Linked DNA regions of Oryctolagus cuniculus. Each later gene encodes a partner of the first gene's protein in a complex. Links are inferred from orthologs where the notes say so. Each region holds a gene or a part of one and is shown in the gene's direction. Other genes may lie near its edges.

Evidence for each region.
Region 2: the proteins of BCL2L1 (region 1) and BAD are in contact, whole or in part, in a crystal structure (PDB 2BZW), measured with the Mus musculus proteins. The link is inferred for Oryctolagus cuniculus from reciprocal best matches to the Homo sapiens genes BCL2L1 and BAD. Residues at the interface, in NP_001276645.1 of Mus musculus: Ala93, Glu96, Phe97, Arg100, Tyr101, Arg103, Ala104, Phe105, Leu108, Gln111, Leu112, Gln121, Ser122, Gln125, Val126, Glu129, Leu130, Arg132, Asp133, Asn136, Trp137, Gly138, Arg139, Val141, Ala142, Phe146, Asp193, Leu194, Tyr195, Gly196; in NP_031548.1 of Mus musculus: Ala137, Leu141, Ala143, Ala144, Gln145, Tyr147, Gly148, Arg149, Leu151, Arg152, Met154, Ser155, Asp156, Glu157, Phe158, Glu159, Phe162, Lys163.

Annotation. Positions count from the first base shown.
Region 1 is NC_091442.1:25,992,985-25,997,366, forward strand, and holds the start of BCL2L1 (bcl-2-like protein 1), read left to right. Parts: upstream 1-1,413; coding exon 1,414-1,977; intron 1,978-4,382. UniProt on the Homo sapiens protein: Potent inhibitor of cell death. Inhibits activation of caspases. Appears to regulate cell death by blocking the voltage-dependent anion channel (VDAC) by binding to it and preventing the release of the caspase activator, CYC1, from the mitochondrial membrane.
Region 2 is NC_091432.1:7,036,673-7,041,078, forward strand, and holds the start of BAD (bcl2-associated agonist of cell death), read left to right. Parts: upstream 1-1,572; coding exon 1,573-1,729; intron 1,730-1,885; exon of another isoform or gene 1,886-2,033; intron 2,034-4,406. UniProt on the Homo sapiens protein: Promotes cell death. Successfully competes for the binding to Bcl-X(L), Bcl-2 and Bcl-W, thereby affecting the level of heterodimerization of these proteins with BAX. Can reverse the death repressor activity of Bcl-X(L), but not that of Bcl-2.

The DNA of each region.
Region 1 (4,382 bases):
CCCCTCCTCCCAGAAAGGTCTAGGGGGCGCCCCTGAGGGAGGGTGGTTGCCTAGCAACGGGGCGGTGGCTCGGCGGGTACCCGGCCTAGCGAGCGGGAGAAGCCTCAAGGCCGCAGCCCACCCACCCCGGGCTCCGGAGAGGTTCAGCCCCCGGCCTCCGAGCCCTCTTGGGGCTCCCAGAAGCCGCCTTGGGCCTGTCCCTAGGAAAACGTGGTCTCAGCCGTGGGGGGCCTCAAGCAGGCCTCGACCCCTCTTCCCGACCCGAGAAGAGGCCCAGCGCCTCCCCCTCACCCCGTCTTTGTGCAGGGCGCCGGCGGCCATTGTATCCGGGCGGGGAATGGAGGACCTGGCAATCCCCCACCGCCACGTTCAGGGCCTTTGGGGAATTCAAAGAAAATCAGCGGCGTTTATTGGGGGTCTCCGGCCTTCAGCTTCCCGGAAAGGCCCGGGGGTGGCCTTCCCGGAGTCAGATGGCAGATCGGAGGCAGCTTTCTCCTCCCCGCGTCCCTCATCGAAACCCTGAGCCCCATTGAGAAGTCCCTTCAGGGTTTCGGGAACCTCCCCCAGGGCTGGTACTTAAATAGACCGGAGTGAAGGAGGAAAAAAAAAAAAAGAAAGAAAGAAAAACCTTAAGCCTACAGCAGCCACCTCCGGGAGAGTTCTCCTGGCTCCCAGTAGGAGGCGGAGAGCCAAGGGGCGTGCGAGAGCGAGGGGGCTGGGCTCCCGGGTGGCTAGAGGCCGCGGGCGCGGAGCGGAGCGGAGCGGCGGCCCTGGATCCCGGCAATGGAGGAGCAAGCCAGCAAGCGGGCTGGTTCCTGAGCGTCGCAATTCCTGTGTCGCCTTCTGGGCGCCCAGCCTGCCGGGTCGCATGATCCCTCCGGCCGGAGCTGTTTGTTTCGCCAGCCGCCGCGAAGCCGGCTGAGTTACCGGCATCCCGGCCTGCCGCCACCTCCTCTCCCGACCTATGATACAAAAGATCTTACGGGGGTGCACCTGCCTGCTGTCGCCGGCTTAGACGGAATTGAATGTAGGTGGTGCGGGGGCGGCGGGTGGTGGTGGGGGGACTGCCCATGGGGTGACTTTCCGAGGACAGCGTTTCGGAGAAAAAGGGGTGGCTGGGATAAAAGAGGCCAGTGGGATGATTCAGAGCCCAGTGGTGCTTACAATTTGACTTCATTGAAGTCTCGTGGAACCTAGACCCAGACCTTCATAGGAGCCACAAAGAAACGAGTTTTGGTACCTGGAAGGGGAAGGGGATGTTGCGGGGGGAAATGGCATTTATACTAATTTTTTTTCTTTCCCTAAAGCTCTTTTTCTCCCTTCAGAGCCTTATTTTGGCTTTGGATCACAGAAGAGAATCCCTGAGCAGGTGTTCTGGACAATGGACTGGTTGAGCCCATCCCTATTATAAAAATGTCTCAGAGCAACCGGGAGCTGGTGGTTGACTTTCTCTCCTACAAGCTTTCGCAGAAAGGATACAGCTGGAGTCAGTTTAGCGATGTGGAAGAGAACAGGACTGAGGCCCCGGAAGGGACTGGACCAGAGATGGAGACCCCCAGTGCCATCAATGGCAACCCAGCCTGGCACCCGGCGGACAGCCCCGCGGTGAACGGAGCCACTGGCCACAGCAGCAGTTTGGATGCCCGGGAGGTGATCCCCATGACAGCAGTGAAGCAGGCTCTGAGGGAGGCAGGCGACGAGTTTGAACTGCGGTACCGGCGGGCATTCAGCGACCTGACATCCCAGCTCCACATCACCCCAGGGACAGCATATCAGAGCTTTGAACAAGTAGTGAACGAACTCTTCCGGGATGGGGTGAACTGGGGCCGCATTGTGGCCTTTTTCTCCTTCGGCGGGGCACTGTGCGTGGAAAGCGTGGACAAGGAGATGGAGGTATTGGTGAGTCGGATCGCGGCGTGGATGGCCACTTACCTGAATGATCACCTGGAGCCCTGGATCCAGGAGAACGGCGGCTGGGTAAGAACCACACCCCTCATTTGTCCCTGTGCTTTGGCCTCTGTCAGAGGACCCCCAGCAGCCTTTCCCTGCAGCTTCTGCTAGTTAGATGACTGTTGGAGGCACTGGCCCCATTTCAGCACCAGACCTGGTTCTTTCCATCTGGGCACCCTCATGACCCTGATCTTCCATGCTTATTTTCCAGTTTCTCAGCACAGAATAGCTGAGGTGTTGATCTGTGAGTGGGGGGTTGGTCCAGTGCCCCCCTCACTCTGGAGCAGTGGCTCTCCATGCTTTGAAAGGGTGACAAGCAGAATGTCTGGAGCAGGTGGTGGCGTGCCGGGGACCCACAAGTCGCTGCGTCCTTTCTTCTCCAGGACTGGCCGTCCTGACCTGGGCTTCCTTCCCTTTATTTCAGAGTTTTCTTATGTGGCCAAGCAGGAGTTCCCCCCAGTGGCTTGGTGGGTTCGGAATTGTCCGATTCTAGGTCAGCGTGGGCTGTGCCACTCGTGTTGGTGCTGCACCTCCTGAGTTGGTGCTGCACACAGCTTGCAACTTTCTGCACGGTTGGCCTGTTTGTGGAGCTCTTGCTGTGTCACGCTTTAAGCCCCAGGACTTTGCACCTCACTCGCTGCCTGGGGTGGGGTGAGGAGCTCCAGCTGCTCTGCCTCTGACTGGCCGGCTGGCAAGGCAAGAAGTCAGTCTGTGGGGCTCTGTGGGCCATTGAGATTTGGTGTCAGACTTTGGACGTGAGTGGGAGCGCCAGCCCTCTCTCTTGGCCAGCTGTGTGACCTTGGACAGGCTCTTTACTTTCTTGAGCCTCAGTTTCCTGCACTGGGAAACGTGGCCAGCTCGCCTGGTCTCGCAGAGTCCTGGAAGCCTTGGAGGTGGCGTGAGCAGAGTGAGGGACGCCAGGGAGCTCCCAGTCCAGACAGGGAGGTGTCTCTCTCCGTCCCTGAGTCACGAGGAGGTGGTGGAGGGACCTTTTGCACCAGTGGTCACTGCAGGCGGGGTTGGTCCTGTTTCCTTGCTGGTCTCCCTGCCCAGGGGAGGTGCGGAACACAGGCATTCTGTTCCCTCAGAAAATGCAGAAAATCCACAGGCTGTGGGGAATAAGTCATCCATTGAGGGAGCAGAGGTGGAAGGGCCGCGCACCTGGACTCAGGAATGCCAGGAATGTGATTGTCGTGGGCTGGGCCGGGGCGTGGCCGGCACTCGGTTTTACCGTGGAGCCAAACCTCCTGAGTTTCTCCTGGAACCCCACCCCCTGGCTCGTTTCCCGTTTCTTTGCAACTTCAGCTCATCTCCTCAGCAGGCTCTTGAAAAAGGCTAGGGGGTCAAGTCAGTAGGCGACGGGGTGGGGGTGGGGGTGGGGGTGGGGGTGGGGGTGGTAGAGGCCGGAGGCTCCCTGGAGCTAAGGCTGATAGACTTGAAAAGCCATTCTGTAAATGAACTCCCTGGGGGATAAATGATTAAACAGTTCCTGTTGGGTTTTGTGTGATGACCTCTCCTGGTCCCTCCTGCTTTGATTCTCTTTGGGGGCAAATATTTGTTCAGCTGATTCCAGGATTCCAGTACTACAGACACACCCTCGGAGGCATCTCTGTGGAGGGACGTGGGCCAGTTGCCCACTTTGCCTTGACCACTGTCTCTGGCCAGTGGTCCTAATACCAGGTGAGTTGTGGCCAGCTATAAACAAAAGGCAGGTTGGGAGAGGTGCCTGGTCTGCCAGCCAGTCTGCAGAGGGCCGTCCCAATCAGAGAATTGCCAGCAACCCAGCGTTGCGGGTGAAAAAGGTCTAAAACCCAGCAGGCCTGGGCCCGTCCATTCGCCCGCCACTGGATGGAAATTCCACCTCCCATCGCCTCGTTGAAAAATGTCAGAGCCCGTTGGACAACATACCACACACACACACACAGTCACACTCACACTCACACACACACGTCGCTTCCTCTTAGTGAACACAGAGGACGTGTGTAGAAGAGCGAGTTGTGTCAGAACCATTCCTGGGAGTGTGTTCTTCCCCTGAGACCAGTGGGTGAAGAACATTTGAGTCAGAGCCCTCCGAGCGAGCCGGGAAAGGTGCCACCCTGCTCTGAGCAGCAGTGACTGGCTACTGCAGTAGCAGCTCAGCCTGGAGGCCTCAGCTGAGGGATCCCTGAGCGTAGGAGTTACGGGCCACTCTGCCTGCCGACGGATGTTGTCTAAATTTGGCATCGTCACAGGAAAGGGAAGGAAATTAGCCTTTACGGAGACCCTCCTATGTATTAGGCATTGTGTTAGGTTCTTAAGCAATGAGTTTGCTGAGCGTTTACGGAGGTGGGCAGGGCGCTAGGTGTTGGCCATAACCAGCCATAGGCCCTTCCCTTGTGGAATTGGCATGCTGTTTCCTGTCTTCCCATAGTGACCAAAATAGATGGTTTTAT
Region 2 (4,406 bases), on another chromosome or scaffold:
GTCCTCAGGCCGTGCGCGGCTCGGGGGAGCCGGCTCCGGTCGCCGGGACCCCGGGCTCGGGCACCCCGGCTCCCGCCGCTCCGCCCCCTCCTGCGCCTGCGCGGGCGCCGTGCGCTACGCCAGTTGCGCAGGGGCCGGCCCCAGCTCTGCGGCCCCGCGCCGCGCCCGGCGTAGACTCAGTGGAGAATCGGCGCGAGGTGCGCCGCCGGCGGGCGCCCCGGGTTACAAGAAGCGGCGGGCGGAGGAGAGGCGGGGGCCGCGCCGTACCTGGGGGGCGCCCGGCCGGGTTGCGCCCTGCGCCACCAGACCTGGCTTGTCTGTGGAGGGCCGCGAGCCCCTACACCTCTCGCCCCCATCCCCAAATCAGTGTTGCGCCGCCCGGCCGGAGGCGGCAACGGCGCCCCCTCACTCAGCCTCCGAGGGAAACTTCCGCCCGTAGCCAAGATGGCCTCCGGGCCCCGCCCCCGGCCCCCCACCCGCGGGACCCCGAAGCTGCCCCGCAGGGCCGCTGGCGCGCCCCTCGCCCTGGCCCGCGCGGCCCCCGCTCACCTGGCCGGCCGCCCGCGCGCCGCCTGCCAGACGCGGAGCCCCTCGAGGCCTACGGTTCGCCCTCACCGGGGCCCCTGTCCCTTCTCCCGCGCCCGGGCCCTCATCCTGCCGGGGAGGAGGTGCCCTGCCTTATCTCGAGTGATCCCGAGACGGCGCGAGGAGCAGGCCCTCCGGCGGGCCGCCCGAGGCCTCCACGCAGGGGAGGAGGAGGAGGAGGAGGAGGGAGCGGGACTTCCCGCCCGGGTCGCCCAGTGCGGGCGGAACAGTAACAATAGCAACGACAACTGCATCCGACCGCGGAGCTTCGCTGGCGGCTTTGCCAAGTCCTTTCACCTACAGTAATCACCACTGTTTACGAGTGTCTTGTACTTGGCTCCCGGGGAGAGGCGCCTCGCCGCCGTCGCCCCGACTCCGCAGTGGGGGGCCCCGAGGGGCTCGTCGGCGGAAGCGGGCCTCCGGGTCCCACGCGGGGACCCCAGGGGCTCCCTCACCTGCTCCCACACACGCCCAGGGCGTGAGTAAGTCAGGAGCGGAGCCTCGGGCGGCCCGGGGGGACCGAGGAGGAAGGCGGCGGCCCGGGCAGGTCGCGGGTGGAGGCGGCCCCGCCTCCGGGCCAACCCGGCTTCCACTTCGAGAGCTGATTGGGCCGGGCCGCTGACAGTTCCCGTTGCCCAGGCAACGAAGGCTGGGCGCCCTCGGTCCTGGAGGGAGGCGGCGGAGCCGGGTCGGGGGCCTCGGCCGGGCGCGGGGTGAGGCCTGTGCGGCGTCGCCCCCCGGCGGCTTGGGTCGGGCTGGGGCCTGGGTAAGGGCCCCGGGCTGCCCCTACAGCACCAGAACTCTATGCCGAGATTCGGGTGCCCCTGCCGGGCCAGGCCTAGAGAGAGAAGGGCCTGGGGAGACCCAGGGGGCCTCGGGGTGCCGGGGTGGAAGGGGGAGCCAGGCGCACCTGCCGCCGTCCCCGACAGCGACCGTCTGCCCCTCCTGTGTCCTGACGCCCTGCTGTCTTGTCCCACAGCCCAGAGCATGTTCCAGATCCCAGAGTTTGAGCCCAGTGAGCAGGAAGACTCCAGCTCTGCCGAGAGGGGCCTGGGCCCCAGCCCCACAGGGGACCGGCCCTCAGGCCCCCGGGGGGACGCCAGTCACCAGCAGCGGCAGCCGAGCCGCAGCAGCCACCATGGAGGTAGGTTCCGTCCCACTGCGGAGCGCCAGTGCCCCTTAACCGCCCCCCTGCCGCCCCAGCCCAGCAGTGGCTGCCCACATGCTGACCGCGACTCACTGAGGGCTTTGGGCAAGGCCCGGCCCCCTCTGAGCCAGTCTCCCCTTCTGTAACACTGACCGGTCGGTTACCACCATGGCAGGAGTGCTGGGCTGCCGAGCAGGTGTATGGAGGAAACACTGGGTTATCAATCCGGTATACCGTACATGGCCAGGAAAAAAGTCATTGTTATGGTGGGGCGGGGACAGTGCAGTGAGAGGTGGACAGTGACCCAGAAAGGGGAAGTGACTCGCCTAAGGTCACACTCCAGGAGGCTCTGCCCCGGGCTGCTCTGCTGGCCTGGGATGGGCCTTCTAGCTCCCGGGTGTGTTTTCCCTGGCCTCTGCTCACACCCAAGGGGAGGCTCGCCTAGCCCAGGTGAGTGGCGTGGCAGGCAGCAGGCCGGGGTGGGGGGCTAGACGAGAGCCCTGGGAGGCCAGGAGCACGGCTCAGGAGGCTCCTGGAGCGGCCCACGGAGATCCGGGAACAGCAGCCAGGCCGGTCACTCACCACTCGCCCGCCCGAGCTCGGCCGCCCTCTGTTCCTCTCCGCACGGCGTCCAGCTGGTGCTCACAGCCCCCACCTGGTCTCCACCCCCACCTGGCAGTCGCTCCCCATCAGCAGCGTCACCGCCCCCCCCCCCCCCCCGCAAAGGGGCAGGAACACAAAATGATGTACCCTGGAGGGAGAGCCCACGGGGCCTTGCTGCGAGGGAGAGGGAGGCCCCTAGGACGGCGGCGCCCAGGCACTGGGCCCGAGAGCGTGAAGCTGCCTTGACAGAGGTGGGCACGCAGGGCGGGGAGGGAGCACAGGGACCAGGGTTGGGCCCAGGTGGAGCCCCAGCACTGGAGGCCCCGGCCAAGCAGGGAGAGAGCAGCCGAGAAGGGAGGAGAAGGGCGTCTCCCGGCCCAGAGGAGGCCGGCAGGGTGTGAAGGCCCCAGAAGCAGCCAGATGGGGGGGCGGGGGGGGGCCGAGAATGGCCTGCAGGCGGTGATGGTGATAAGGAGCCTGGCTGGAGGGCTGCGGGAGGAGGGCAGACAGCAGACAGCCGGCCCAAAGCAACTGGTCGCCCATACCAGGTCCACACAGGTGCCTGGGCCCCTGCCCACCGCCCAGCACACTCAGCCTAGGAGGGGACAGGCCAGCGGGGAAGCCACTGGGCCAGGCTGTGGGGTGCAGGGTGGTTCCGCGCGAGCCCACGGCTGTGATCGCCTCGGGGTTCCCAGTTAGTAGGGAAAGTGCTAGCAGCTGTGGGCGTGGAGGCAGGGCCGGGTCACAAGCCTCTGTGCTTGTCGCGTTACCCGGCAGGCGTGTTACACGCCTGGGTGCTCCCAGGGCCCCGCAGAGGGCAGGCGCGAACACGAGGGCCCGGAAGGCCACGCCAAGGCCTCTGGAGTGCGTCTCAGTCAAGTCCAGCGGCAGGGCTAGCGAAGGTTTGGGTAGGCGGCCGGACAGGGCTGGTCGTAGGGCGGGGCGGGGCCTACCGTGGCCATAGGTTAACTCCTGTTTGTGTGCAGCCCCGTGAGCTGAGGGTGGTTTCCCCACTTTCCAGTGGCCGACAAAAATCCAAGCTACGGTATTTTGTAACACACGAAAATTACATGAAACTCAGATTTCGGAGTCCCGAAGGTGTCTGTGCACACGGCACGGTGCCTTCATTTACATGTTGTTTATGGCTTCCCTGAAGCCCAGACCACAAAAGCGAGTGACTGTCACCAAGATTACGTGGTCCACAAACCTACACCGGGAACAGGCGCTCGGTGCGGTGGTGAAGTCACTCTGGGACACCCGCAGCCTAGATCGGGGTGCCTGGGTGGAGTCCCAGCTGCTTGGTTCCTCATCCAGCTTCCGCCGGGGTGCACCCGGGATGGCTCAGTACGGGGCCCCTGCCACCCACCTGGGAGACCTGGATTGAATTCCTGGCTTCAGCCTGGCCCAGCGCCAGCTGTTGCAGGCTTTTGGGGAATGAGCCAGCCAGGGGAAGATCTGTCCCCCTTCTCAAATTAAGTGGAATAGGGGTGGATGTGGCGCCGTGGTGAAGCCGACCCCGGGGACACTGCGGCCCGTCAGAGGACCTGCGGAGTCCCGGCTCGGCCCCGGGGACACTGCACCCCGTCAGAGGACCTGCGGAGTCCCGGCTCGGCCCCGGGGACACTGCGCCCCGTCAGAGGACCTGCGGAGTCCTGGCTGCGCTCCAGGGAGGCGGCCGGGGGCGGCGCAGGTACGCGGGAGACCCAAGCTCACTGTGGGCTCCTGGGCTCTGCAGGCCCGGCCCTGGCTGTTGTAGGCATTTAGGGAGGGAACCAGCTGACGGAGGGTCTCTCCCTCTGTGTCTCTTTGCCTTTCAAATCAAATAAAAATAAATATTTTTAAAAGAGAAACTGAAAATAAATAATATAGTTTGTTTTGGTTAAAAAAAAAAAAAAGCCCTGAACTGTGTCCAGGAGCACCCACCCAGTAAGAGGGTGCTGGCTTGTGGGTGCCGTGAGGCGTGGGCGGCACTGAACTCCGATGTCGCTTCCTATACAAGCATGCCTGCCACAAAGTTTAATTGTAAACTAGGCACATGGCATTACTAACTAACCACGAAAAGGAAAATTAT